Linked DNA regions of Macaca mulatta. The protein of the gene in region 1 interacts with the protein of each later gene in a biochemical or structural test. Links are inferred from orthologs where the notes say so. Each region holds a gene or a part of one and is shown in the gene's direction. Other genes may lie near its edges. The genes, in order: ARL2, TBCD, PDE6D and UNC119.

Region 1 (6,029 bases):
TTTGTTTGTACTTTATTGACTGTCTTCCCACTAGAGTGTAAGCTTCCTAAGGGCAGGGCTTTGTCCTCAAGCACCCAGAAGAGAGTCTGGCACATAGTAGGTGTTCAACAAATTAAGGAGCTTTTGGGCAGTAGAGATGATATTTATATCTTGATACTTTCACATTTATTGTGGGCCAATGATGGCCAGGCATGTGCTGAACTCAGTTTGATACATGACGGAAAATAATGAGTCCCCTGTGACGATGTCACCACCCGGCGGAGAACAGGGACTTCTCCTTAACCTGCTGCGCCCCAGTGGCCTGGACAATGCTGGAAAGACAACCATCCTGAAGAAGTTCAATGGGGAGGACATCGACACCATCTCCCCAACACTGGGCTTCAACATCAAGACCCTGGAGCACCGAGGGTGAGCAGGGGCCCCATGGGTGGGCCAACCCAGAGCAGGGCAGGGAAGGTGGGAGAGGGGCCCAGCTGACCCTCTTGTCACCTGCTTCTTGCCCAGCTTCAAGCTGAACATCTGGGATGTGGGTGGCCAGAAGTCCCTGCGGTCCTACTGGCGGAACTACTTTGAGAGCACCGACGGCCTCATCTGGGTAGTGGACAGCGCGGACCACCAGCGCATGCAGGACTGCCAGCGGGAGCTCCAGAGCCTGCTGGTGGAGGAGGTGGGCAGCTCCTACCCTTTGTGCAAATGTGTGGACATGTGGCCGCCTTCTCAGCAGATGCCCAGAGGGGTCTGTGGCCCCAGAGGGAAACTAGAGGCAGGCTCCATTCCTTCACTGGGCCCCCACCATGGGAGGCCCATGGTGCCAGAGGCAGGACACATGCTGTGGACTGAGATTGAGTTAACGTCCCTGGGGTGTTACTACATCAATACCCTGAGCATCAGTTTCTGTGCCTTGAAATGGTGATGATGACACCCACATCATTGGGCTTTAGGGAGGATGACCCAAGGCCAGCATGAAGCTTTGAGAGGCCGTGGAGCCTGGCTCAAGAGTCTGACTCTTCGCTGTGTGACCTCAGCCAGGGGTGGTGGCACGCACCTGTAGTCCTAGCTACTCTGGAGGCTCAGACAGGAGGATCAGTTGAACCTAGGAGGTCGAGGCTGCAGTGAGCTGTGATCATACTACTGCACTCCAGCCTCCTGGGTGACAGAGCAAGACCCTGTCTCAAAAAAAAAAAAAAAAAAAATAAGGGGCAGGGCGCGGTGACTCACACCTGTAATCCCAGCACTTTGGGAGGCCGAGATGGGCAGATCACGAGGTCAGGAGATCGAGACCATCCTGGCTAACACGGTGAAACCCCGTCTCTACAAAAATACAAAAAATTAGCCGGGCATGGTGGCGGGCGCCTGTAGTCCCAGCTACTCAGGAGGCTGAGGCAGGAGAATGGTGTGAACCTGGAAGGCAGAGCTTGCAGTGAGCTGAGATTGTGCCACTGCACTCCAGAGTGGGCAACAGAGCAAGACTCCATCTCAAAAAAAAAAAGAAGGAAACTTGCAAAGATAGTACAGAGGTCCCCCATATACCCTTTACCTTGCTTCTCCATCTTACCTAACCGTGGCCTGTCCAAACTAATAAATCAACATTGGTGAATTACTATTATCTTAATTACAGATTTTATTTGAATTTCACCAGTTTTTCCACTAATATACTTTCTGTTTCCAGTGTTTGATTGAAGCTACAACATTGCATTTAGTTGAAAATGAGGACACTTGTGAGAGTGAAAGGGGGGATTCTGCAGGCAGACTCGGGATTGTCCTGGGCACACTGCACACACCTCCTGTGTGAGTGAAGCAGGTCAAATGAGATCAGGGCCATCAGATGCTGGTCAAGGCAGGTCAAGGCCCAAGGGTTAGACCCGTCCACCCACATCTCCCAATAACAGATGCATATGTGGAAACAACTAGAATCAGAGGTGGACGGCGTGGCCTGTCGGGAGTGGAACGGTTAAAGGGCTGTGTGAACCCAGAAGCGGGAGAGATCACATTCTCTGTGCACGTCTGGTCATCAGATTGGAGCAGTCTAGAACCACAGAGAGCTCAGGGATCATCTTATCCAGCACCCCTCCCTGTTTATGGAAGAGGAAGCTGAAGCATGGGGGACAGCGGTGTCCCCTGTGGTGGTTGACTGGAACCAGAACCCTGGCCCAGAACTGCCATCGCCCATGTGGTCCAGCCTTGATGGCTATGTCCACAAACTCACTCCTGGGCCTCTCCCACCACCACAGGGCCTCACCTTGATCTTCCAGGTCGATCCTTCACCCCAGATGCTCTGGGCCGTTAGAGGAGGGGTCAGGCTGTCCTCTGAGTCCCCACCCCACCCCTCTGTCTTCTCTTCCCCAGCGCCTGGCCGGAGCCACCCTCCTCATCTTTGCCAACAAGCAGGACCTGCCTGGAGCACTGTCCTCTAACGCCATCCGCGAGGTGAGTCCAGGCCCTGGGACAGGCCCACTGAGAGAAAGGGGCTCACTTTTTTTATTTTAAAAGCATTTATTAAAAATAACCAAAAAAAGTAATAATAAAAGCATTTATTAGCCCCTGCTAGGTGGCAGGACCTATGCAGGGCACTGGGGATCCAGTGATTAATAAGGCATGGGGTGGCCCACAGCCTGGGGAAGACAGAACTGCACATGTGTTGTTCACAGGCTAACAGTAGCCAGCACAAACAGAGTGCTTTCAGTATGCTCTGCTCCTTGCATGGATTAACTCATTTCATTCTCACAACAACCTCATGAGGTAAGAACTATTATTTTACACATGGTGAAGCAGGCTCAGAGAGATTAGGTAACTTGTCCCAGGTCACACAGCCACTAAATAGACCAGAAGCCTGTCTGACCCCAGAGCCCACATTTTAACCATGATTCTAGTGCTCAAGCACCACAGTGAGAAAGAGCAGCGTTAAAATCTTGGCTGTGCCACTTATGAGCTATGTGCCCTTAGGCAGGTTGCTTAACCTCTCTGAACTTTGGTTTCCTCCTTGGTGAAATGGCTGACACAATCCCTGGCTCATGAGGACTTGAGGAGAATGAGAGAGGATGTGTGGGGCTCCTGGCATGATGCCCAGATCCTGGTGGATGCTCAAGAGCCCGTGTTGCATTTACATCACTAAGGGGCGGCACTGGTGTGGTACTGGACAGAGAGCCCAGGTGCCCCTGGGGGCTGACAAAGTCTCTCAGGGACCAGCGGGGCTTCCTGGATGGGATGACCTGGAACAGGGCCTTGAGGGAGGCATGGAGCTCCTCTGGGCTGGGGAGGGAAGGGGCTGAGGGAAGGCAGGGTCTGCAGTCACTGACCACCACCATCAGCACCTTTGTTCTTCCAGGCCCTGGAGCTGGACTCCATCCGCAGCCACCACTGGTGCATCCAGGGCTGCAGCGCCGTCACCGGGGAGAACCTGCTGCCAGGCATCGACTGGCTCCTGGATGACATTTCCAGCCGCATCTTCACAGCTGACTGAGCCACTCCAGATGTCCCTCCACCTAGCAGTCCAGGTCCCCCAACCCTCACCAAACACTATCCATGGGGGCATGGGAGTCAGCCAGCCAAACTAACACTCCCCCTCCTCCACCCCAACCTGCTGCTGCTACTGCTGCCCGCTGCTGCTCTGTGGCCACCCAGCTCCTGTGGCGGGAGGGCTGTGCCCTGGCTGTTTCCCTGGCTCCTGGCCTGGCCTTTGGCTACCATACCAAGAAAAGAGGACTGGGCGGGGAGGAGCTGCTACTGCTGCTACCGAGGCTGTGGGCCTCATCCTTCACTCAGCTGTGAAATAAACCACTCCTTGCCCTGATTCCTGGCTGAGTCATTTGTTGATTCAACAGCGTTAGAGACCACCTGGGACCCACAATCCAGCAGGGGACAGAAAGGAACAGACCATTGCAGTCAATGGTGAGCTGCGGCTATGTCAAAGGGATGCAAAAAAAGTTATAGAAGCATGGGACACGGTGCAACTGATTCCATCCAGAGGAGTCCAGGCAGGCTTCCTAGAGGAGGTCATGTTAAAACTGGGAATAAAATGTGAGTAGTTTTCCAGGTAGAGAAAGGGGAAGACGGTTCACCAGGGGAACTCCAACTCTCATAGGTATGAATTAGAAAAAGGGACACAGCTCCAGACCAGGGCTCCAACTTTTTGAATGGAACATGGGCTGAAATTCAGCTCCCAATTCTCTGTTGTAGCCAGGACCCCATGTGCAGTGGACAACCTGAATAGCTGTATGAGGCCAGCAGAGGTTCAGGCAGAGGGGATCACAGGACAGGCATGAAGAGCAAAGGCTCTTGGGAAATGGGGAGGGGCATAGAGTCATGTGTGGGAGGGAGTGCAGCCAGAGGGCGGGAGGGGGCCACATCAGGTAGGGGTAGCTGAGTCCTTTCCTGAAGGCGACAGGAACTCGGAACCAGTGCCAGGCTGGGAAAGGATAGGAAATGAGGCCACCCCAGGGGTCCAGTCCAAGTGGCAAGACTGGTGGATGTTTTCACGGCCCAGGGTCCTAACAGCTGCTTACTCTGCAGGGTTCTGTTCTAAGTACTACCCATTCAGCAATGCAGTTAGGGACAGCCCTATGCAGTGCTGCCTATCAAGACCCCCCTTTATATGGGACACTAAGGGGTGGCACTGGCGTGGGACTGTACAGAGAGCTCAGGTGCCCCGGGGAACAGATAAGCTCTCCCAGGGGCCAGGGGAGGCTTCCTGGATGGGCTGACCCTTGAGCAGGGAGGGAAGGGGCTGAGGGGAGGCACTGGCCACCACCAGTACCTTTGTCCTCCCAGGCCCTGGAGCTGAACTCTACAGCCACCACTGGTACATCGAGGGCTGCAGCCCCGTTGCTGGGAAGAACATGCTGCCTGGTATCGACTGGCTCCTGGATGACATTTCCTCCAGGAGGTTAAGTGACTTCCTCAAAGCCACGCAGCTAGGAAGTGAGGGAGCTGGACTCGAACCCAGCACACTTGGTCACTATACCTACCCTGCTGCCTCCCGAAATAGCTCAGGCCTAATTGTCTTCAATTTTTGTCTCTCTGCTCAAAATTCAAATGCCAAGGAGAGGCAGCCTGCCTGGCGCAGCTTGAGGCTCACGATTATCTTTTGATGTGGATTTGTGGCCCAACAACCCTCCCAGCAGAGTATATCCAATGGAAGAAGGGCAGTTTTCCCAAAGGAAAGTTGAATGCTATTATCAAAAGGTGAGGAAGAGACACTGGGATTTACTCTGAAGCTGGCACTAGGATCCTTTTGTGGAGGGGTAGAGACCTGTGCAAAATCTGGGTTTCCTTTTTTTTTGAGACAGAGCCTCCCTCTGTCACCCAGGCTGGAGTGCAGTGGCATGATCACAGCTCACTGCAGCCTTGACCTCCTAGGCTCAAGCCATCCTCCCATCTCCTTGCTGGGACTACAGGCTTGTGCCACCACGCCCAGCTAATTTTTTATTTTGTAGAGATGGGGTATTGCCGTGTTGCCCAGGCTGGTCTCAAACTCCTGGGCTCAGGTGATCCTCCCACCTTGGCCTCCCAAAGTGCTAGGAAAGTGCTGGGATTACAGGCGTGAGCCACCATGCCCAGCCTAGGTTTCCTTAAAAGTGGAAGAAAGGGCTGGGTGCGGTGGCTCACGCCTGTAATCCCAGTACTTTGGGAGGTCAAGGTGGGCAGATCACCTGAGGTCGGAAGTTTGTAGACCAACCTGACCAATACGGAGAAACCCTGTCTCTACTAAAAGTACAAAATTAGCCAGGCATGGTGGCTCATGTTTGTAATCCCAGCTATTCGGGAGGCTGAGACAGGAGAATCGCTTAAACCTGCGAGACAGAGGTTGCAGTGAGCTGAGATTGCGTCATTGCACTCCAGCCTGGGCAACAAGAGTGAAACTCCGTCTCAAAAAAAAAAAAAAGGTGTGGAAGAAGGGAAGTGAATGTTGCGTGGACAAGCTTAGAACATGAAGAAACTGCCCTTCAGGGTACAAAATTAGAAGCCCCTGCCCTGTCCTCCTTGCAAGACAGACCTGGTGGTCTGCAGGCTCTTAAACCTGGACTCTGGAG
Region 2 (7,294 bases), on another chromosome or scaffold:
AAGACGTACCTTCTCTGCTCACGGCCCCGCCCGCCCTGCCCCCAGTGCCTCTCCAAGGCTGCTCTGTTGGCCCCGCCCGCCCTGTGCCCAGTGCCTCTCCAAGGCTGCTCTGTTGGCCTCGCCCGCCCTGTGCCCAGTGCCTCTCCAAGGCTGCTCTGTTGGCCTCGCCCGCCCTGTGCCCAGTGCCTCTCCAAGGCTGCTCTGTTGGCCTCGCCCGCCCTGTGCCCAGTGCCTCTCCAAGGCTGCTCTGTTGGCCTCGGCTCCCGGGCTTTGGGGGAGCAGTGGAAAGAACATGTGGGTTCAGTGTTTGCTACTTGCTGGCTGTGTGGTCACGAAAGGCTCCTCCGTAAGTGGCAGAGGTGGGGGTTCGAGGAGACTGGCACTGAGCCCTACATGCGGTGGGACTGGTGACTCTCTGCACGCTCCTGCTCTGTAGCAATTGCCATCCCTCCCACCATGGCTCCTGGTGGCCTTGGGATGGGTTCCCGAGGGTCTCCTGCTGTCCGGCCCCAACTCCTGTTCCCAGTGCCCCCACTGGAGCCCTGTGTCTCTAATTGAGGCTGATGTGGGTTAGCCTGGAGGCCCTGCCCCATTACTCTGGGTGCACAATGTATGCCTTTTCCTTCATACCTGTTTCCGGGAAAGAAAAAAATGCTCCATTTTATTACTGCTCCATATTAGAAGACAGGCAGTGTGGAAAGAACAATCAGGTTGTCCGCTCAGTTTCTTAGTTGTAGTGAAGCGATGCATGTGTCTGACAGACGCTGGCGGGCAGCCGTGCTGGAAAGGAGCAGCATGACTTAGGGGTTCTCTCGGTTTGGTTCTAAAGTCATCGCTGTGCCTGAACCTCAGGGTGACCCGCTGTGTCCCTGGCCGGGGGCTTCTCCGACCTGGGAGTGACCCGCTGTGTCCCTGGTCTCGGGCTACTCTGACCTCAGGGTGACCCACCGTGTCCCTGGTCAGGTGCTTCTCTGACCTCAGGGTGACCCGCTGTGTCCCTGGCCGGGGGCTTCTCCGAGCAGAGCTGCTGTGTGCTCACCGTGCTGCCTTTGTTTTAGGATGCAGCAGTCTCAGCCCTGGCTGCTCTCTGCAGTGAATATTACATGAAGGAACCGGGGGAGGCAGATCCCGCAATTCAGGGTGAGTGGGGGCCCTTTCCTTGAAGGCTCCAGGGGCTTCCAGCAGGAAGCTGCTCGGGGAGTGTCTGGGCACGGAGGAGGCCTCAGCTGTGCAGGGGAGCAGAGCTACCACCATCACGGCTGGAGCGGGACTGTTCGGGTCTCAGGTTCCCGGCTGAGGACCTCTGGGCAGGTCCCACAGCGGCCCAGGGTGTTGCATCACCCTGAGTAAGCGGCTCTGCAGGGGGCCCTCTGTTGACGGCACCCTGGCAGCTGGTCCTGGAGCACAGTGTTCCTCACACTTTCAGTTGTGTTTTCTTACATTACATTTATTTATTTTATTCTTTCAGACAGTCTGGCTCCATCACCCAGGCTGGAGTGGCGTGGCTCACTGCAGTCCCCGCCTCCCAGGTTCAAGCAATTCTCCTGCCTCAGTCTCCCGAGTAGCTGGGATTACAGGTGCCCACCATCACGCCCGGCTAATTTTTTGTATTTTTAGTAGAGACAGGGGTTTCTCCATGTTGGTCAGGCTGGAATCGAACTCCTGACCTCAGGTGATCCACCCGCCTCAGCCTCCCAAAGATCTGGGATTACAGGCGTGAGCCTCTGTGCCCGGCCAGTGTTTTTAGAATTTTTGTGCACACTGTGACATTTTTCTGGTGTGTGTTCTTCACTTGTTAATATATTTTGCTGTTTTTTCCTTCTTTGTGAAAGTAGCATAAGGCTGGCTTTACTGTGTCCCATGCATGGCTGCCCTGCCGCCTCACTGTGCGTCCTGCGCCCCCTGTCCCGTGCGTGGCCGCCTCACTGTGCGTCCCGTGCCCCCTGTCCCGTGCGTGGCCGCCTCACTGTACGTCCTGCGCCCCCTGTCCTGTGCGTGGCCGTCCTGCCGCGTCACTCCTGCCGCGTCACTGTACGTCCTGCGCCCCCATGCTGAAGTTCAGGCTCATTTATCGCACATCATGTATCTGTTCGTATATAAAAATCATGTATATAAAAATCATGCATTAGCTTGGCATGGTGGCACACGCCTGTAACCCCAGCTACTTGGGAGGCTGAGTGTGAGTTTGAGGCTGCAGTGAGCTAAGATTGCACCACTGCACTCCAGCCTGGGTGACAGAATGAGACTCTGTCTCAAAAAAAAAAAAAAATTCTCTTTTTGATCCCTATTTTGAGGTGGGGCCACTTTGGAAATGTGTCTGCTTTGGGAACCTTTGTTGACCGTGGCTTCGCTCCTGTTTTGGGGCACACGTCGGGTGTGAGTGTACACGTCGGGTGTGAGTGTACACGATGGGCAGCAGAGGCCTCTCTTCACACTCGTCACTTCCTTTCAGAGAAGCTGATCACGCAGTACCTGGCCGAGCTTCGGAGCCCCGAGGAAATGACTCGCTGTGGCTTCTCGTCGGCCTTGGGCGCCCTTCCAGGCTTCCTTCTGAAAGGCCGGCTCCAGCAGGTGAGACTGGCTACGCACCGCGGACGGGGCCTGGGGCGAGGGTGTGGGAGCAGCGGACGGGGCCTGGGGCGAGGGTGTGGGAGCCTTGTGTGTTGGGGCATGAGGTAGGCCCAGCCATTAGTAAACCCACTCAGTGCTTGTAGCTGGGAGGGGATTTCTGGAAGTCGGCACCTGTGGCCAGGAGAAAGGGGGCAGAGGGCACCCAAGGTCTGTGGCCCCTCAGGGCCCTGGCAAACCCTTTCCTGTCAGAGGACAGACTTTGAAAAGCTGAATTCTGGGAGGGAGGAGAAGGTGTTGTTTGTAGAAGCAGCTGCTGAGAGTGAGGAGAACACAGTTGCGTTTGTGCGTTTGTGGAGCCGGGTCCTGTTTTGGCTGCGGCCGCGCATCCAGGCGGGGGCACCAGCGGCTCCACGTCCTCCCACAGGTCAGCCCCACGCTGGCCTCGGCGACCTGCTCTCTCACAGTTGAAACACAGATAACTGTGAAACAGGATCACTTGGAGACATGACAGATGAGGCTGTTGAGACCCAGCTGCTTCCTTTGTCCCATACCCCAGGTCTCAGCATAGGACAAAAGGGGGACCTCAGGTAGGGTGCGGCCAGACCGCCAGTGACGCCCTGGGGTGGGGGCTGACTGTGGAGAGGCTGGAGGTGACCCCTCTCTGGGTGTCCTTCCTGGGCTCCACCGGGGGCCATGGGTGGCCCCTCGAGGAAGGTGGTGCCAGGAGTGGCCTGTCACATGGTGCGGGGTCTGTGGCTCCGGGCCGACATCACCACCTCCCTAGAGTGCACTTCGTTACAGCCTGTGGTTCTTCCATGATTCTTTATTGCTTTCCAGGTTCTCGCAGGTTTAAGAGCAGTTACCCACACTTCTCCTGAGGACGTAAATTTCCCTGAGTCAAGGAGAGATGGCTTGAAGGCCATTGCTAGGTGAGTCCCAGCAGTTCCTCCCTAAAGTCGTAAGTCTCTGAAAGGCCAAGAAATGAACGCTAAGGAGGATGTTTTTGCTCAGAGGCAGGATTTATGATTCTTCACTTCCTAGGTTTCCTCTCTTCCAGAGGATCGCCAGTCCCAGGTCCTGGAGGCTCGTTCAGTCTCTTGCTGTCATAGTCATAGTGAATGTTAAACATCTTTAGCAACACTGGGCCCCTTTGAGAATTGGGGAATGTGTCCTGGCCCAAGGTTGGCAAAGAGGAGGTGACCCTGCCAGCCAGTGTTTGGAATGATCTCCACCCTCGTTGACAGACACGCACCTGGGGCCATGCCATATGCCCTCTCCTCCCTGCAGGCACACAAGAGGAGCAGCCCCGTGGGGGTCATGCACGCCCCCTTCTTTCCTATGCCAGCATCCGTCCCCTCTAGTCAGGGTGGGAAGTGGGAGGGACCCGCCGTAGGGGGTGTCCCCGTCCACCTTTCAACAAGAGAGACGGCAGAGCGTGACCTTGGGGAAGCATGTCCCACGTTCCGTACGTGTGGAAGGAGCTCTGGATTTCTGATGTACCCGAGGGTCCTAGACTGTTGTGAGTGTGTCTTCTCGGGATCGGGAACACACATCAGACCTCTGTGGCGTGGAAGGCGAGGCTCACAGATGTTTGTCTGTTAGCTCAGACGTTTTAAATTTTAGGATTTGCCAGACTGTTGGTGTGAAACCAGGAGCCCCAGTCGAAGCTGTGTGCAGAGAGAACGTTTCCCAGATTTATTCTGCACTGCTGGGCTGCATGAACGACTACACCACGGACAGCAGGGGGGACGTGGGCGGCTGGTACGTGCGCAGCAGGGGGGACGCGGGCGGCTGGTACGTGCGCAGCAGGGGGGACGCGGGCGGCTGGTACGTGCGCAGCAGGGGGGACGTGGGTGCCTGGTATGTGCGCAGCAGGGGGGAGCACTTCCTCGAAGAAGCCCGTCTGTTCCATGGAAACTCGGAGGCCCCGGGCTTTTCTGCAGGGAGAAATCTTTGTAGAGTGCCGTATTTTGCGTTTTAAAGGCTCTTGGGAAGACGACCTGTTCTCTGCTCCCGGGTGAGCTTGCGTGGCGGGGCTTAGGTGCTTGTCCAGCCTGTCCTTAGGTGTTGGGCCTGCGTCATCCTCATTGACTGGGTGTGAGGAAGGACGCGTCTTCAGTGAAAGGCTGTCGGCTGCTTACATTGGGTTTTGCCAACATTCCTCGCTGAAATGGGATTGATAATCCCCGAAACTCCTGTGTGTGCAGGATGCCTCGGGGCCCCTATATGCGGCTGTGGGTCTCCCTTCCCTGCACACGTTCCTGTAGCACGCAGGGAACCTCTGCAGACCCTGTGACTTTTCTCCCTGGCAGCGTGCCTGGGCTCTGTGTGGGGTTAGTCACTGGTGTTGAATTCGCACAGCCTGCCAGCGTGGTTGTAGAACCGGGGTTGGGAACTCCCTCTCAAGCTGGGTGTCTCTGCCTCTCCTTGTCCCATCAGGGTCCGCAAGGCCGCCATGACCGGTCTGATGGATGTGACACTTCTGCTGGCTCGGAGCCAGCCTGAGCTGATCGAGGCCCACATGTGAGTGTCACGTCCCAGCTCTTCTGCATCCTAGAGGGCAGCCCCAAGCTTGGGGAGGCTGGTGGGGCGGGCAGTCCTGGTGCTCAGTGGCATTTGCATTGCTGGGCACACATCTTCCTCCCAGAGAGCCTCTCTGGTCCGTGACCTCAGGTTTGTGCAGGCCCCTCCTCCTGCCCCTGTAGCCATGGCTTGAGCTGGGGCCCCTCCTCCTCTGCCCAGTGCCCCCAGGACAAGGCTCTGCTACCCAGCCTGGGCCTCCCCCAGTGCTCTGACCAGTTTGATGACAACCAGCTTCCCAGGTTAGGGCCGGGCTGGAGGTGAGGACTGCTCAGCTTAGGACCCTGAACCTGGGGGTCTGCTCCTGCCAGGACCAGCTGAGCCATCACTCAGTTCCCTGCACCTGAGGCTGCCATTGGGGCCTGCCCTTGCTGTGGGTCTGTCGGGGGTACTAGGTTGTGGGGACCCCCAGGCCCTGCACTTGCTGTCGGTCTGTCAGGGGCACTGAGTCATGGGGGTCCCAGGCCCTGCCCTTGTGGGTCTCTGTCGGGGGCACTCGGTTGTGGGGATCCCGGAGCCTGATTTCCTTAGTTCTCACCTCTTTCTCCTTCCCTCCCCCCATCTCTTCGCCAGCCCCAGCTTCTCTGTCTCCATCCCCGGCCTCTCTGTCCCCCACACTCTTCTCCACCTGCTTCTGTAATCATATTTGTTGTCCCCGCTTCAACCCTAAGAACTCATTGGCATGTGTGTCACATGTACGTAGCATGTATTTGCTGTGCACCTGTAGGGTCGGGCTCCTGGGATGTGAAGGTAATGGGGTGTGGTCCTTCCAAGCCAGTGTCCTGGTGTCAGCTGCCAAGTCCCGAGGAGCCCGTATATCCTCGTGGTGCTTGAGCTGGACTCATGGCTCAGACTGCCTGCGCTCGGTTTACTGCCCGCGCTCGGTTTGCCACCCGCCCTTGGTTTACTGCCCGCGCTCGGTTTACCGCCCGCCCTCGGTTTACCTCCTGCTCTTGGTTTGCAGCTGTGAGCGCATCATGTGCTGTGTGGCCCAGCAGGCCAGTGAGAAGATCGACCGTTTCCGTGCTCACGCCATCAGCGTGTTCCTGACGCTCCTGCACTTTGACAGCCCTCCCATCCCCCACGTGCCGCACCGGGGAGAACTGGAAAAGCTGTTTCCCAGGTACCGTCGGGGTGCAGGCCGCCCACACTGGCCCTGCAGCCGTGGCAAGATCATGGGCCGCCCGGCCTCGTCCCACTCACTCTCTTGCAGGTCCGACGTGGCCTCCGTGAATTGGAATGCACCTTCCCAGGCCTTCTCACGCATCACCCAGCTCCTCGGGCTGCCCACCTACCGCTACCCCGTCCTGCTGGGGCTTGTCGTGTCCCTGGGCGGCTTGACGGAGTCGACGGTGAGGAGGCGTCACGCTGGCGGGGGTGGGAGGTGGTGGCTCCAGGGGCACTTGGCGCTTCCTTGCTTCTTGGGAGTGTATGTGGAGCTGGGCCTTTTCTTCCAGTGCTTTCTCTCTCTGGCGTATTTGGTCTGGGGGTCAGGGGCCCAGCGGCTTCCTCATGACCCAGGAGGCTTAGGGCCTGTGGGATGGTCGAATCTGATAAAGGTGGAACAGCACGTTGAGTGGGGGTCAGCAGCAGACTTTGAAGTGGGCCAGCTCCGCTCTCCTCCCGCGGCCGCATCCCTGGAGCCCCAAGTGTCCCCTCGGGGTTCAGCCCTCCAGGACCTGTGTCTGATGCCTGCGTGTGGATACCTGGGCTCCGCCCTCCACTTCCAGGGCTCCAGGCGCAGCTTCCCATTCTGTGGGGAGGGTCTCCAGAGCCTGTCGTGGCTGAGCTGGGGAACTGGAAGGCCTCTCTGCATCTTGTCACTCGTGGCCCCTGCACCTTGGGTCATGACCTGCTTCGTGTGGCAACCCTGTGACAGCTGCTGCGTCCTAGAAAACACATAGCAGGACATGAGGTGCCCTCTGCACCATGCGGACACGTGCGGGGAGACCCAGGCCACGCGAGCCGGGCCCCGAGACACGCTGCACGCAGGGGAGTTGCGGGGATTATCAGATCCCGCTTCAGTGGGAGACGTGAGCGAAACCCAACGTGAGCGGCTGCAGGCTTTCGTCACGTGCGCCCCTTCACGTCCTAAGTGAGGCCTCAGCTGTGCCGCCGCTGCCGAGAGCTGTGTGTCTGCTTT
Region 3 (7,863 bases), on another chromosome or scaffold:
GTTCGAGACCAGTCTGGCCAACATGGCGAAACTCCGTCTCTACTAAAAATACAAAAATTAGCCGGGCATGGTGATGCACTACTAATCTCAGCTACTCTGGAGGCTGAGGCATGAGAATTGCTTGAACCCAGGAGGCAGAGGTTGCAGTGAGCCAAAATTGTGCCACTGCACTCCAGCCTGGGTGACAGATTGAGACTCCATCTCAAAAAGACAAACAAAAACAAAGGGAGTAGCAATTGGGGTTGAAAAAGAAGGGACACTGTTGGAGACATTTAGACTGTAGAATTTATAAGACTTGGTGACCAGCTGAATATAAGGAGAGGGAGGGAGCATAACACCCAGGATTCTGTCCTGGGAGACCAGAGCTGTCTGGAACTGGTGTTAAGTGAACAGGGCTATGGACGAGGAGGGACAAATATGGGATTGAGAGGAAGACAACAGAGTTTAGTTTGACTTCATAGAAATTCCAGCAATGCCTCTACTTCCTCCAGAATAATGTCCAGACTCCATGGCTGCAATTTGGACTTAGTATTTTGGGTTTTTTCCCTTAAGAGACGCAGTCTTACTCTGTCACCCAGGCTGGAGTGCAGTGGCACTATCATAGCTCACCTCAGCCTTGAACTTCTGGGCTCAAGGGATCCTACCACCTCCACCTTCCAAGTAGCTAGGACTACAGGTGCAGGCCACCACACCTGGCAAATTTATTCTTTTTTTTTTTTTTTAGAGATGGGGTCTCTCTATGTTGCTGAAGCTGCTCTTCCCTGATCTCAAGTGATCCTCCCACCTTGGCTCCCAGAATGCTGGGATTACAGGTGTGAGCCACCACACCCAGCCCATGGCTGCAGTGAAAGCCCTTCCAAGTGTGCCTCCCTCCTAAGTCCTCTAGCTTTGTCGCACCCCACCCCCTTCACAGTCCAAACTCCCATGCCCGGCACAACTTATACCATCCCTCTCAGACACCAGGCCTATGCTCAAGCTTGCTCTTTTTTGGAATGCTCTTTTATTAGCCTGTAAAAAACCTACCAACTCTAAAAGCAAGGATTTCTGAAATCCAATGCAAAAAACACTAACCATAATAGAAAACATGGAACTATTGCACTATGTTAAAATTAAGAATTTCTGCTTGGCAGATGCAGTGGAGTACACCTAAAGTCTTACTATAGCTACTTGGGAGGCGGAGACAGGAGGATCACTTGATCCCAGGAGTTCGAGGTTGTAGTGGGCAATGCTGGTGCCTGTGAATAGCCACTGCATTCCAGCCTGGGCAACATAGCAGAGACCCCATCCCTCAAAAATATAATTTGTTTCAAAAGTCACCAGTAAGAGAGTGAAAAGACAAGCCACGCCTTGGAAAAGATATCTGCAAAGCATGTATCAAGGAACTCTATATCCAGACGGTAAAGAACTACAAATCAATAAGAAGACAGCCCAATTTTTTAAAGTTGGGAAAAGAATAGGCACTTCAGGAAAGACAACGTTCAACTAGCCAACAAGCATATTGAAAGGCGCTCAACATAAGGAAAAATGTAAATAAATACCTTAATGAGATACCACATTCAGCCAGAATGGCTACAATTAAGAAGAATGACAACAAAAATCCTGTGTTGACAAGGATAAGAGGCACCTAGAACTCTTTCATATTGCTGGCAAAGGCGTAAATTGGTACAATCATTTTGAAAAATTGGCAATGTCTACTATCACTGATCATGTGCATAACCTCCCTACACACCGGCAATTCCTCTCCTAGAAATGGGTGCAAGTGTCTACAAAAAGAAACATGTAAGAATGCTCGCTACAGCTTTGCTAGTAATAGTCCAAAAAATAGCAACGCAAATGCCCACCAACAGTGGAAAGGTAAATTGTGGTATATATATACAACAGAATACTATTCAGCAGTTAAAAGGCTACACACAACATGGATGAATTTCACAAAAATATTGATAAAGTAAAAAAGCCAGACACATACTGTACATACTGTATTATTACATTTAACTGGAATTCAAGAACAGACAAAACTGATCTATGGTGATACAGTCAGAAGAGTGATTATCTCAATATGTAAGGAGGTAATACTGATTGGGAAGGAGCACTAGGCGTGCTAGAAATGTTCCATATCTTGATTTGGGTAGTGGGGACAAGGGTGTATACCTATGCAAAAATTGTTCCCATACTGTATGTCACATCTCATTTAAAAAAAAAAAAAAACTTTTTTAACATGGAAAAAAACTTCAAGTCCAAATGCCACCTTCTCCATTAAAGTTTTGCCAGCTGCAATTAACCTTTTCATCAGGGCCTCCTTAGCATTCTGATGTCGTTTCTTTTATGCCATTTTATCACACTCCATCTTGAATCTCAGTGGAGTCTCCTTATTTCCCTAAATAGATGTTTATCTTCCTGGTGGCAGTGACCATGTCCTTCACCTTTTACCCACTCAGTGCCTGACAAATAACAGGCTGAAAAGATATTTATTGAATTACATGGAAGAAAAAATTGGGTGAGTTCCCAGATGGGTGAAAGAGGGGACAGGCAGAGGAAGGAAGGCCAAGAGAAGGACAGAGGAGGTTTCCAAGGAAACCGTGGCTCACACTGCAATTTTACCTACTTCCTGAAATCACATTAAATGTCACCTTGAGTGGCAAAAAACAAAACACCAAGTCCTACCTAGGCTGAAAATAAATATCACACTCCCTCACTTGAAAGAAATCCACCAAATAAATGCTACCTAATTCTGGGTGTTTCAACACTGGATAGGAAAACTGTTCAAGGAGAATAATTCACATTGCTATGCTGCTAAAAATATCACCTCCTTAGTGTGGTGCAAAGAGTCCAGACTGCAAGTCAGCCGACTTAGGGCTGAATTCTAACTCTGCCCGAACTTGCTGTGATCTGTGGCCAATCCCTTCGCCTCTCTGGGCCTCAATTTCCTCATACGTAACAACGGGGTAGATTAGCAAAGTCCCTTTATGTTTTGATATTCTGAGTATACAATCCATAGCTCTCCCGGTCCAAAGCAGGAATACAGCAAAAACCCCTGAAAAACACGTAAAAGGCGCCTCAGACCAACAAGCACGATTTGAAGAAGTCATTTTGTTATCTTTCACGGTTTAATCAGTGTTTTTGTTTGTTGTTAGCAGCCTTACCATGATTTGCAGAAGATGTCTGAGTTCCATGTAAACAGAAGTTAACTCTCTGCGGGCTGTCATCTTCTTTTGACGGTGAGAAGGGTCTTCCCGCTGGGTTTCAAGTCTCGGGATTCCGAAACCACCAACTCAGCGGGCGGGTTTGTGAATTTGCGCACACTGCGCGGCACACTGGAGTCTAAGTTACAGAGGAACCGAGTGCAGAGGATGCTGGGATTTGTAGTCTCCGGACCTCTTTGTGGTGCGCTGGGATCTGTAGTCCCCCGAGTGCGCCGCTGGAATGCTGGGAAATGTAGTCTCTGTCGCGTAGCACAGTGCAACCAGCTGCCGTCTCGAATGGCTAGTGTGCTCAGCTGCGGGAGCAGGTCCCTAAAGCCTCTGCAGATCCGAAGCCAACACTCCGCTGGGACAAACTCTAGGCAATAACACCAGATGAATATTGTGTCCTATGGGACTTCCCGGGGAGGGCCCTTCCCATTGACGTTAACAGTCCCCCTGCGAAGGCGCAGCGCGCTCCTACTGGCTGGTTGGGATGCCAATCACCAAAGCTGGCTTTCCATTGGTTCCAGGGGGGCACTGCGAGGCTAGGGGGAAGGAGAAGGGATCAGGAGCGGGAGCTGAGGGGAGAGAGAGGCCGGTCCTGGTCTGGCCGCTGCGGCTGCTCGCCCGAGGTCTCCAAGCCGGGCTGCGGCTCCATCCTCGGCTCCTGGGCACCGTCTGCGAGGCTCCGCCGACCAGAGTGAGAAAGCCGCGGGCGGCTAGCGCCGCATCATGTCAGCCAAGGACGAGCGGGCCAGGGAGATCCTGAGGGGCTTCAAACTGTATCCGCCCGGGAGCGGGGCGGGGCCGGGAGGACTTGGGAGGCGGCCGCTCACTGAGGAGACTGGCCGGGGGCGGGGGCCGCGCCAGGTGGGCCCCGCGGAAGAAGGGCTGCGGGAGGGGAGAGGAAAGGAAAAGCGTGCCGTGCACCCGGCGGGACCAGGCGCGAGAAGCGCCCCCAGGGGCGTCCTGAGGGAGGAAGGGGACGTTGACGGGAGCCACAGGGGGTGGCGGGTGGGGACGGAAGAGCTTGGGGTACTGGGCTGCGAGAGGTGCCGGGCGTCGCAAACGCTATCGGAGAGACCGGCTGGGTTCCAATCCCCGGCCGGGACCCAGAGGCCGGGAGGGGGCTGCGGCCCGCAGGGAAGGGCTGAGGGGGCGCGGTGGGCTGATCTTAAAGTCTAGAAGCCTCTTTGGCTATAAGCCTACCCGAGGAGCGGGGAACAGTGACTTGGAGCGGGCGACCTTGTGTGGGACAAATACCAGTGCTTTTAAAACTCTCTCAGGGCCCCCACCGCACCGCACCCCACCCCCGTCTGGTTTCCACAACTTCTCTTCCAAACTTGTGGCTTCTTCCAGGGCTAGAGTAGTTGGGGGAGGTGGGGAAAGAGAAGTCCAAGATCAACCTCGTCTTAACACTCTTGGTCTTCTGAGGCATTGGTCACTGCTTCCCCCTCAGCGCCTCAGTTTCCTTTCCAGCAACACGAGGACCATAGGCTTAGGTGTGGGGTGCCTCGCGCTGGGGCTCCTAGCCGAGGTGTCTTTGCTCGCTCCTGTTGGTGCGGTTAATGCCTAGCTGTGGTGGAGCTGTCCAGCAATAGTGTGATGTCGCTGGGGCCACGGTAGGATAGTGGGGTAGAGAAATCATTGCCTCGGGCCTGTTGTGATGCCGCTCTTGCAGCCTCTCCTTAATGTGGTAAGGAAGCTTTGTGTTTTCGTGGAGTGTGTTAGTCTGTCACCATATGATGCAGATGAAAAAATGCAAACTTGTATATTCAAATTTTCCATTCTCCTGCCGGCTTTAATCTCTGCATACATCCTGTCTGTAATCTATAGTACGGAACGTTCTTAAACTGCTCCCTCAGTGAAAAGGTAGTCACCGCTTTAGGACTCCTCCCTTGGAGGTTTAGTAAAGCACTGTTTTCTTGATATTCTGTTGTGTTTTCACAATGTCCATGTCACCCTTGCAAAATTTAATTGCTTTGCTATAATCAGAAACCAAGTTGGTAATACATTTTAGACCACAGTGCAAAAAGGAAGTTTTGGATGTACAAGTGAGATTTTTCAAGTGAAAATTGATCTAGGCTTTTAAAAAAACCTAAAGGCTGTATCACCTTTGCATACTACCATTCAGGATAAAGTTTCAGTACTTTCATGTAGTGATTTAGTAGCAGCCTCTTTAGAGCTCCATGTGCCTTTCTGTGTTTCTCTCCATAATGGATCATATAGGTATATAGGGATGACTGAAGTGCTGGAAAAGCTATGACATGAATTTTATTTTTCCCTCAAGTAATTTGTATTATTACTTAACATATAACAATGTAATAATATTGTTACTTAACATGCTGTGTAAGCAGTAAACCAGAAACTATGGAGAACTGAGAGATTTCAGAAGCAACGTTTTCATCTGATTGGAAATACCATATTGCTGAAAAGAAGAAATACCTTTTTAATGGCTTTTGAACAAAGCAGAAAAGTTTGAGCTTCTCACCTTCAGTCTTGGCTCTTGAACCTGTTAAGAAAGAGGATAAGAGACAAATACGGAAAAGAGTTTCAGAAAGCAGAATCTGTGTCAGCCCACTAGAAGGAAAAGCGAATCAACCAATTCAGTGATGTTAGTGCATCCAGAAACAGGCTTTCGGGGAAAGCTTGACCTGAGCTGATTAAATCCTGAAGCACCAGGGAAGCAGCCACATCAAAAAGTTAGCATGAGAGCAGTGGCGTGCTCATCCTCTGGTAGCCTTTATTGGGCATTTGTGGAGTAAGAGGGAAAAGAAAAGCAGGAATGTTAAGATATGCTACTACCTTCAGGAAAAAGTAAAATTAATGTTTTAGTAAGAAACTGACTATTGTCTACCTTTTATTGGGTAAATAGATTTTCCGAACTTTCTTTCAGAGTATCTGTTTCTGTAAGAATAGTTTATCACTACAAAAAGAGCACCATTATGTTCTCCCACCAACAGTGTTGATAGTACTCAGTTTTCCACATTGACTAGGTCGGTCTTTTTTGTTTGCCAGTTTAGATAACAAATGATATATTGTTTTAATTGGTATTCTCCTGGGATCCCTACATCCATGAAAAGGTAATGTAGCATAGTGGTTAAGAGCTATACTGGACTATGTCGCTATACTGCCTGCATTGGAATTCCAGCCCTGCACTCCTAGTTGTGTGTCCCTGAGCAACTGCTTTAACCTTGCCTCAATTTTCTTATCTGTAAAATGCAGAAAATAATAGTATACTACCTATCGCATGGGGCTTTGAGAGTAAATGAGTTGATATCTAAAGCATTTAGAAAAGCACCTGATCTACAGTAAGCATTATGCTTTAGCTAGTGTTATTCTTGTTGTTATTAGATAAGTTGCACATCTCTATTTGGCCATTTCTTTTTCTTCTGTAAATTGTTAATTTTGTTTTTGCCCATTTTACTATTAAATTGTTTATTTTTCTTATTTGTAGATGTTCTTTACATATTGTAATATCAATCCTTTGCCTATTATATATTTTGCAAATATTTTCTTTCAATGTATTGTCTCCTTTTTTGTTGAACAGAATTCTAAAATTGTCATTTCAAATTTATTTTATTTGTTTGAGATGAAGTCTCGGTCTGTTGCCCACATTGGAGTGCAGTGGCACAATCTTGGCTCACTGCAACCTCCGCTTCCCAGGTTCAAGCAATTCTCCTGCCTCAGCCTCCTGAGTAGCTGGGATTACAGGCACATGCCACCATGCCCGGCTAATTTTTGTATTTTTAGTAGAGACGGGTTTCACCATGTTGGCAAAGCTGTCCTCAAACTCGTGACCTCGTGATCCGCCTGACCTCTGCTTCCCAAAGTGCTGGGACTATAGGCGTGAGCCACCGTGCCTGGCCTCAAGTTTATTAATATTTGCCGTCTGGCTTTTGCATTTTGTATCTTGTTTAAAAAGATCTTTCTTATCCCAAGATTAACTAAATATCCTATCTTTTCTTCTCTTTTTAATGTTTAGCTCTTTAATCCACCTGGAACGTATTTATACATTTGGTATAGGGTAGATATCTAAGTACTTCTGCTGTTTGAATAGCCAGTAGTTCCAGTACTAAGTACTAAGTCCGTCTTTTCCTCACTGTTTTGAAATGCCATCCTTGTCATATACTAAATTTTCATAAGACGTAGGTTTATTTTTTGATTATTTCTCTTTCATTGATCTATTTGTCTCTTCTTGTGCCTATACACATTTGGTTGAATTATTATAGCTTTATGATGTGATTTAGTACAGTTTACAATAGGATTGGTCTGTGACTAACATAATATGTGTGTTTAAGGTCCCTATAAATATTTATGCCCCTTTTATTCACATAGAAGCTTGCCATATGCCCATAGTAGATAGAAACATGAGGACTTGGCTGGGCATGGTGCTCACACCTGTAATCCCAGCACTTTGGGAGGCCTAGGTGGGAGGATGGCTCAAGGCTAGGAGTTCAAGACCAACCTGGCCAACATAGTGAGACCCCCAACTCTAAAAAAAAAAAAATTTAAAGATACTCCGTAAGAGTGATGCATAAATCAGGCATGGTCTGAGTGAATTCAGTATAAGCCTTTGTATTTGCCATCAGTTGTTTCAAAAACAAAATCTTACAAGATTTTATTCTCATATCACCTTCACCCCATCTCACCCTACCTCTTTCAGAGTATCTGTTTTTGTGAG
Region 4 (8,021 bases), on another chromosome or scaffold:
AACCTCCCGAGTAGGTGGGACTACAGGCGCCTGCCACCACACCCGACTAATTTTTTGTATTTTTCGTAGAGAGACGGGGTTTCACCATCTTGGCCAGGCTGGTCTTGAACTCCTGACCTCATGATCCACCCACCTTGGCCTCCCAAAGTACTGGGATTACAGGCGTGAGCCACTGTGCCTGGCCAACAAAACCAGTTTTAAGAAAAATAGACTCATGAATGTCAGGTCCATGGAGTGTGATTAGGGCTGCTTGAGAAAATAACTGTTAATTCTTGTGCTGCCTGATGGATTGAGAGTGACTGAGGCTCTATGTTGAGGATTCTAAGGCTGTATCTGGGCTCATTAGGAAAGAGTGTTCTTCTGATTGACTAGCGGTGTCTGTCACGGATGCAGGCTTAGAGAAGCACAGCACATGTGCCTTGGCAAAGGCAGTCCTGGATCATCCCTTAATGCTAAGTCCCATTGGCCCCATTTGTTCAAAGAGAGGGTAGAGAAGGTGAAAGGATTAAACTAAGTTAGTGTTATCAGAAGTATTTTAGCCATGGAACCTTTTTTTAAAAAACAAGATCTTGGAAGTCTAATGTAGAAACAGGTAAAAGCAGAAACACCGGTTGAAGCAGGGTTTGGGGCCAATTTGCTTGGTGTTGCCACTTATGCCCCAAGACCCTGAGGTACTTCCCTTTAACCCCTATGGTTCTGGGTAAGATTGAAAATCACTGGTTTAGGACAGGTATTTGAGAAATCTTAGCCATCATCTCCCACCCTGTGGTCTCAGCCACCTTGATCTTACTCCGATGTTCCTACAGGTTGCTCTTTGGGATTGCTCAGCCCCAGGTGCCTCCAAAATGCCTGCTTTCAGGGCCTAAGAGTGAAGGGCTAATGACCTGGGAGCTAGACCGGCTGCTCTGGGCTCGGTCAGTGGAGAATCTGGCCACAGCCACCACCACCCTCACCTCCCTGGCACAGCTTCTGGGCAAGATCAGCAACATTGTCATTAAGGACGATGTGGCATCTGAGGTAAGTGGGCAGGGGATGGATTCTGCAGCTTGGGACTGGAGTAGTCAGAGAGGGCCAGAGTGTGGTGAGACCAGAGAGCCTGTGAAGTCACGGTGTGGACTTCACAGGCTCTCTGGTCTCACCACACTCTTCATCTTTAGTGTCCCAGCCTTCCTCTAGACAGCAGTACCAGCCCCCCAGCAGGAGTGCAGATGACAGTGCGAGGTTTCAAGCTGACCCTAGGAAAATAAACCATATCCCTTTAGACAGACTTCCATAGATCCTGGATGAACTCCAGGCATCTTCCTCGATAGATGGAAAGCACAGTAAGGCCCAGCACCCTTTCCACCAATGCCTGGGACTTACTGGTATACCCTCTTGTCCCTTCTGCTTCCTAGGTATACAGGGCTGTAGCTGCAGTCCAGAAGTCAGCAGAAGAGTTGGCCTCTGGGCACCTGGCATCTGCCTTTGTCGCCAGCCAGGAAGCTGTGACGTCCTCTGAGCGTGCCTTTTTTGACCCGTCACTCCTCCACCTCCTTTATTTCCCTGATGACCAGAAATTTGCCATCTACATCCCACTCTTCCTGCCTATGGCTGTGCCCATCCTCCTGTCCCTGGTCAAGATCTTCCTGGAGACCCACAAGTCCTGGAAAAAGCCTGAGAAGACAGACTGAGCAGGGCAGCTCCTCCACAGGAAGCCTTCCTTTTTGGCCAAGGTGGGCGGTGTTAGATTGAGAGGCACGTACATGGGGCCTGCCGGAATGACTTAAATATTTGTCTCCAGTCTCCACTATTGGCTTTCCAGCAACCAAAGTACAACACTCCAAGATGGATTCATCTTTTCTTCCTTTCCCGTTCCCCTGGCTCAGTCCTCCTCCACCACCAGGGGCCCCAAAAGGCACATCATCTGGGTCTCCTTATCTTGTTTGATAAGGCTGCTCCCTGTCTCCCTCTGTGGCATGGACTGTTTGTTCTTTTGCCCTATTTCTCAACATAGCACACTCATGCACTGAGAGGAGGGAGCATTATGGGAAAGTCCCTCCCTTCCACTCTTCTCTCTAACGCCTGTGGGAGAGCCCTAGTCCCTGCCGTCATGAAGGGGTCAGGCATTGGTCACCTCTGGGACCTTCTCCCTCACTCCCCTCCCTCCTAGCTAGCTTTGTCTGTCAGGTACAGTCTGGTGGAAGTCCAGGAGGCAGCAGCTCAGGACGTGGTGTTGGGGGTGTGTGTGTGTGTGTGAGTCAGAGGTTCCAGAAGGTTCCAGATTTGGAATCAAAGAGTCCTGAATTCAAATCCTTGTTTTTGCACTTATTGTCTGGAGAGCTTTGGATAAGCTGTTGAATATCTCTGAGCCTCAGTTTTTCATTCATTCAAATGGCACTGATGATGTCTCCCTTACAAGGTGGTTGTGAGGATTAAATGTGATCAGCATGTAACATGTCTAGTGTATATTAGGCTCTTAATAAACACTGGCTGAATATGAATTGGAATGATACAAAGTCTGAGCTCTACTCTTTCTGCATTCACTGGTAAGTAACAGTTTCCTGGTGTTTGTCCTCCTGTGCCCACAGGTCCACTTTGCTTCCACGTGGCCATGTGCCTTTCCTAGCTAGATTGCCCAAGGCTGTTAGCATCTGCTTTTTACCTGAGATACTAATTCATCAGGTAAAAAAAAAAAAAAAATATATATATATATATATATATATATATATATTTTTGAGACGGAGTCTCGCTCTGTCGTCCACGCTGGAGTGCAGTGGCCGGATCTCAGCTCACTGCAAGCTCCGCCTCCCAGGTTTACGCCATTCTCCTGCCTCAGCCTCCCGAGTAGCTGGGACTACAGGCGCCCGCCACCTTCGCCCGGCTAGTTTTTTGTATTTTTAGTAGAGACGGGGTTTCACCGTGTTAGCCAGGATGGTCTCGATCTCCTGACCTCGTGATCCGCCCGTCTCGGCCTCCCAAAGTGCTGGGATTACAGGCTTGAGCCACCGCGCCCGGCCCTATATATATATCTTGAGCACCAGCTGCAGGGAGCCTTCTGCCAGGTGCCGGGGTCCTACTGAGAACAAAGTAGGCAGGATCAGTGCTTTCACAGAGCTGAGCTTTCATGAGGAAGAGCAGACAAATAAAAATAATTTCACATAATGCATTGGAAAGACAAAAACAGGCTGGTCAGATGGTGACTGAGGGGGAAGGACTTCAGACTGGGTGTGAGGGAGGCAACTTTGAGCAGATGACATTTGAGCTGTGACTAGGAGAAAAAAGGCCATCTGGGGAAGAGCATCCAAGCAGAGACCCTGAGCCTGGAACTCATGAGCAGAAAGGCTGGAACACAGTGAGTAAGCGGAGAGGTAGTCAGGACCCCACTAGTACCAGTGCAAGAAAGTGTTAGAAAAACAGAATGAAGCCCAGGGCAGGATCCCCCGACTCCCATCCCCCACGTCCGTGGCCTTTCGGCAGGGGTGGGCCGCGGGGCGGGCGGGATCAGCGCAGGGCCCACCCCAGGGGCGGGGCCGGGGCGGGGCGGTACCTGGAGCCCCGGCCGGGGGCGGGGCTGCGGACGCTCCCCCTTCCTCCGGCTCCAGCCGGCGCAGGCAGCGGCGGCAGCAGCAGGCGAGCCGCGGCCCGGCGAGGCCATGAAGGTGAAGAAGGGCGGCGGTGGGGCCGGGACGGGGGCGGAGCCCGCTCCCGGGCCCTCGGGCCCGAGCGTGGCCCCCATACCAGAGCCGCCGGTGGAATCTGAATCTGGGTCCGAGTCGGAGCCGGACGCAGGCCCAGGGCCCAGGCCGGGGCCGCTGCAGAGGAAGCAGCCGATCGGGCCGGAGGACGTGCTGGGGCTGCAGCGGATCACGGGTGGTGAGCACCCGCGAGGGAGCGCCTCCCGCTGGCGGGAAGGGCAGAGGGTGCGAGGGGCCCTCCCGGCGCACCGAGCCCCAGCCCCCGCCCCCTTTCCCGCCTCCCCTCCCCCACCGAGTCTCCCTCTCCTGTGTCCCCTACTCTCCCTTCTGCCACCAAGCCTGAGATCTCTGTGTACCCCCTTCCCTTGATCTCTCTCTCTGTGCGCTTTTCTTCTCCCTTTCAAGATTTATTCCTTCCTTTTCCGGGGGTCCGTCCCCTTTTCCCAGCGTGGAGGTGCGTGCGGCAGCAGCTGCAACTGTAGCCCTGCCTCTGTGGAGTCTTCAGAGCGCTTTGAGGCCCGCCCCTGCACTAATGAGGAGAGGGGCTGAGTGCAGCTTGTCCTCAGCCCCCACCCTGGAGGCTAGGTGGAGGCTGAGTTACTTCGGAGGCATTCAGACTCTTCATGTCTCCCCAACCATTAATACCCTCACCCTGATCCTCCAGGAATACTTGGGCCATTTTCTTCCCCAGGAAAGAAACTGAGCAGGCAGCTTCAGAGTGTTGACTGTGGTTCCTTCTCATGGGGAGTGGCTTAACGTCCCCCCAAGCCTGGACTAGCGCCTGTCCTATTCTAGGGGCTCTGTCATCAAGGGAGGCTTGGTCTCCACTGTGGTTAAGAGTTTCTGAGCTGGACTGCCTGGGCTGGAGTTTCAACTTTGCATATAATTGGCTGTGTGAACTTGGGCAAGTAACCTGACCTCTCAGCATGTCTTTTCATCTGTAAAATGGGGATAATGGTATCTATCTCGTAAGGTTATTGTGAAGATAAGTCCTCTGATTCTGTACAGTGCCTGGCATCTATGCATTCTGTGTACATTGGGCTCTTTGATCAGTAGTATTTTGGGCCCTACAGGGCTGCTCATGGCTGCTGCCTGGGGTCAAACAACTTGGCTTTCAGGGCAGGGGAGGGGGTCATCATAGGCAGGGAATGAGGGCTAGGAAACCTCATAGCAGAGGCCTTGGCTGAGCCTCAAAGGATGAAGAGACAGTGGCTCTCCACCTTGGCCACATTCACCAGCAACCTGCCCTGGCCCCCTTTGTGAGAATAATTGTTGGGGGGCCTCTCTGTGGGTATGGGGTGCATATATTGGAGTGGACCTGAGCCCTAGAGCTTCCAAAGCAGCTGAACACAGGGCTCCCAGACAGAGCTGTGGAGGGGAGGCAGCCTTGAGCCTGTGCTCCTGGGTCCCTGGGGGCCAACTCCTCTATCCTTACTGAGTTAGGCAGCAGCCATTCTTGGCTGGGCCCCCAGAGTACTGAGCTCCCTTGCCCAAGCAGGCGTCGATGGAGGGAGGGAGGCTGGACCAGGCTGATGTTGAAGCCAGTTGGGCTACAATTTGCAACAGCAGCATTTAGGATTCAGCTTAGCTCTGGGGCAGAACTGTCTCAGAGGAAGTCCAGAGGTCAGATTGAGCCCTGAGTAACTTGGGGGGTTGATTTTGCAAGTAGAGGGAGCTTCCAGCTCATGTACCACCATTTGTCTCCTAATTTGGAGGCAATTCATAGCCCTTAGAGATGGGGAATCTGTGGAGGGTGAGTAGAGGAAAGGGCTTCATGGGAACCCCTTCCTGTGCAGGAGTTGAGAACAGGGTTCCAGGGATTTCCACCCTGGCACCTCTTGCTGGTCTCTTCTGACCCTAATCACGCAGGTCCGAGGTTTGCTGTTCCCAGATTACTGGGCCCTGAATCCAGCTTAGGAAGCTATTTGTGGCTGAGAGGAATAGAGCAGTTGTGTTCTGAGCCCTTGGCCACTCTGCTCCTTATTCTGACCTGAACCTGGGTCCCAGGCCTCATCCTTTCTAGAAGGGAAGGAGTGGCCATGGTGTTCTGAGCCATAGACATCCCTGTTCCTCACTTCTTCTAAGGACAGAGAGGTTGATAGATTGAGTTTGCAGTAGAAGAGACTGAGGTCAGACTGCAGAAAGTTGTTCCCAAATGAGAGAGGCTCCAAAAGTTAGAGAATGGGAGAAGAGAAGGCCTTACAGGGATCTGGGAGTTGGGCACTGGGATCCTGCTCCCCACTCTGCCACTCTATTCCCTATGCTCTGTACCTTCTTTCTATGTCTTTATACTGGTGCTTACTTTCTGTGAAAATAGGGTGAATGGCATGAGATAGAGGTTGCCCACTTCCAATCTCTCCCCACCCCACACGTGGGCTGTAGTAGACTCTTCCCCAAGCTGTATAAAGTCCATGCCGGGCCCCAGGTACCAGACGGCTGCCAGGAGGGCTTCCTGGAGGGGACTGTGTCAGGCTTGGGGAAGAAGCAGGCCTGGGGAAGAGAAAATGACTTTATATTCACTTCCTCTTCCTGCCCCAGAGGAATAGGTGGCCCAGGGGCCTGGAGGGTGATTTCCAGGCCTCTGTGGGCCACCAGGGGAGGATGTGATGCTGTGTAGGCTGACAGCATCAGAGTCCCTCCCTGCACCTCTCAGCTATCTTTGTTGCCAGGGTCTCCCTGAACACCTGAAGTTGCTGCTGCAAGAGCTGTGAGGGTTAGATCAGGCCCTGTAGGTCCCTGAGCTTCCTCAGGCAGGGCCTCCCACTGTTCTTGGTTCCCCTTGTGGGCCCGAGGACTCCCTTTAGCCCTTCCACACCCGCTGCTGCACCTGCCACACTCGCTTCCTGGCCTAGCCTGTGTTCTTCTCTATAGGGGTCCGGGACTACTTTCTCCATGGTGGTGGCTCAGAGCCAGGGCTGCCTAAATGACCTCTAAGGGGGTTCCCTCTGCTTGCTAAGACTTCCTCCCATTTGGAGATCAACAAAGGATAAGAGCAAAGTTGGCCTCCACCCCCTGCCATATCCCAGGCTCTGGGCTTGAGTCAGCAGAGCTTTGGTTAAGCTGCTTAAGGGAGCTGGGCTGGTGTAAGCTTCTTACTGAGAGGAGGGGGTTGGGAGGGGAGGAGGAACAGGGAAGGGGTTGTTCACCTGCCCCAGCACCACCCATATCAGGGAAAGTCCCCTCAACATCAGCCTCACCTGATACATCTAGATGTCATGCCAGGGGCAGCTGTGGGGCGAGGGTAGGAGTATCCTCCAGAGAAGGACTGTGACTCTCCCAAGACAGAGCTGTGTGGCCCCCTTTACAGTGTGGTTCTCAAAGGCAGGGTAGCAGAGAAGTTGATAGATTGAGTTTGCAGTAGAAGAGACAGGTCAGACTGCAGGAAGTTGTTCCCATATGAGAGGAGGGGCTCCCACCATGCTGGAGACCCAATTCTCCCAAAGTCACCTAGCCAGCCTTGGCAGAGCAGAGGCCAGAAGGAGGACCCTCAACTCCAGGGTGGGAGGGAGAGCATCCGGGAGGTGGCCTTGTCCTCTACCCTTCTCTGCCCTTCCCTTCCCTGGCCCCCAGAGGCCACCAGGATGGCACGCCTTATCCCCTGTTAGATCCCCATGGTGGAGTTATGTCTCTTCCACACTGGGGGTGTACTCCAAGGGCAGGGGTTCAGGTCCCTCTTTCCAGAGGGTAGTGATCCCAGGGATGAGAAGATGGTAGCTACTCTGGGGTCCCACACAAGCTGACCTGGCAGCAGGGGCTTTGGGGCCCCTTCCTTGCTCAGCTGCCTGTCTCCCGTAGACTACCTGTGCTCCCCCGAGGAGAATATCTACAAGATCGACTTCGTCAGGTTTAAGATTCGGGACATGGACTCAGGCACTGTCCTCTTTGAAATCAAGAAGCCCCCAGCCTCAGGTGAGTGGGCTGGGTGGGCCATTGATGGCGAGGCAGATATGAGCTGCGGAGTGGGCTGCCCAGGGACTCCTTGGGCCACAGAGGAGTCCACAGAGGTGGGGCTTGGACCCCAGCATTCTCAGGAGTCTGCAGGCAAGGAGGCCCTTTCTTTTCCTTCCCATATGTTTCTGAGGCTGGACATCTTGTGAGGTCAGCCCTGCCCCTTCGGTCCCTGCCAGCCTGCCCTCTGCAGGGCTCTCTGGGAACTGCAGTCCTATGGGTCCCAGGCCTCAGCATCCTGTGGCCCCGGAACCACAGTGGCAATTGGGAACCTGCAGATCTAGAACCGCTAGGTGGCACTATCTGGCCAATGGTCTGAACCCTCAATGTGCCCCAGAATTTCTTGGGGAGTTTTTACAAAATCAGATAGATAGAGGCCCAGGGGTGGAACCCTGGGTG

Evidence for each region.
Region 2: the proteins of ARL2 (region 1) and TBCD form a complex in vitro, tested with the Homo sapiens proteins (2 studies listed by BioGRID and IntAct). The link is inferred for Macaca mulatta from reciprocal best matches to the Homo sapiens genes ARL2 and TBCD.
Region 3: the proteins of ARL2 (region 1) and PDE6D are reported together in a solved structure, tested with the Homo sapiens proteins (2 studies listed by BioGRID and IntAct, with this or other methods). The link is inferred for Macaca mulatta from reciprocal best matches to the Homo sapiens genes ARL2 and PDE6D.
Region 4: the proteins of ARL2 (region 1) and UNC119 form a complex in vitro, tested with the Homo sapiens proteins (2 studies listed by BioGRID and IntAct, with this or other methods). The link is inferred for Macaca mulatta from reciprocal best matches to the Homo sapiens genes ARL2 and UNC119.

What each region holds. Positions count from the first base shown.
Region 1 is NC_133419.1:9,362,473-9,368,501, reverse strand, and holds the end of ARL2 (ADP-ribosylation factor-like protein 2), read left to right. Parts: exon of another isoform or gene 1-214; coding exon of another isoform or gene 215-297; coding exon 298-408; intron 409-504; coding exon 505-687; intron 688-2,299; coding exon of another isoform or gene 2,300-2,312; coding exon 2,313-2,427; intron 2,428-2,648; coding exon of another isoform or gene 2,649-2,738; exon of another isoform or gene 2,739-2,739; intron 2,740-3,325; coding exon 3,326-3,460; 3' UTR 3,461-3,790; downstream 3,791-6,029. UniProt on the Homo sapiens protein: Small GTP-binding protein which cycles between an inactive GDP-bound and an active GTP-bound form, and the rate of cycling is regulated by guanine nucleotide exchange factors (GEF) and GTPase-activating proteins (GAP).
Region 2 is NC_133421.1:92,636,457-92,643,750, forward strand, and holds part of TBCD (tubulin-specific chaperone D), read left to right. Parts: intron 1-1,058; coding exon 1,059-1,140; intron 1,141-2,452; coding exon 2,453-2,571; intron 2,572-3,408; coding exon 3,409-3,500; intron 3,501-4,194; coding exon 4,195-4,332; coding exon of another isoform or gene 4,333-4,431; intron 4,432-5,010; coding exon 5,011-5,094; intron 5,095-6,115; coding exon 6,116-6,274; intron 6,275-6,364; coding exon 6,365-6,503; intron 6,504-7,294.
Region 3 is NC_133417.1:137,044,495-137,052,357, reverse strand, and holds the start of PDE6D (retinal rod rhodopsin-sensitive cGMP 3',5'-cyclic phosphodiesterase subunit delta), read left to right. Parts: upstream 1-3,716; 5' UTR 3,717-3,911; coding exon 3,912-3,961; intron 3,962-7,863. UniProt on the Homo sapiens protein: Promotes the release of prenylated target proteins from cellular membranes. Modulates the activity of prenylated or palmitoylated Ras family members by regulating their subcellular location.
Region 4 is NC_133421.1:37,248,318-37,256,338, reverse strand, and holds the start of UNC119 (protein unc-119 homolog A), read left to right. Parts: upstream 1-3,558; 5' UTR 3,559-3,632; coding exon 3,633-3,852; exon of another isoform or gene 3,853-3,899; intron 3,900-7,469; coding exon 7,470-7,583; intron 7,584-8,021. Other genes in the region: GPI-anchor transamidase component PIGS, read left to right, coding at 807-1,017, 1,395-1,670. UniProt on the Homo sapiens protein: Involved in synaptic functions in photoreceptor cells, the signal transduction in immune cells as a Src family kinase activator, endosome recycling, the uptake of bacteria and endocytosis, protein trafficking in sensory neurons and as lipid-binding chaperone with specificity for a diverse subset of myristoylated proteins.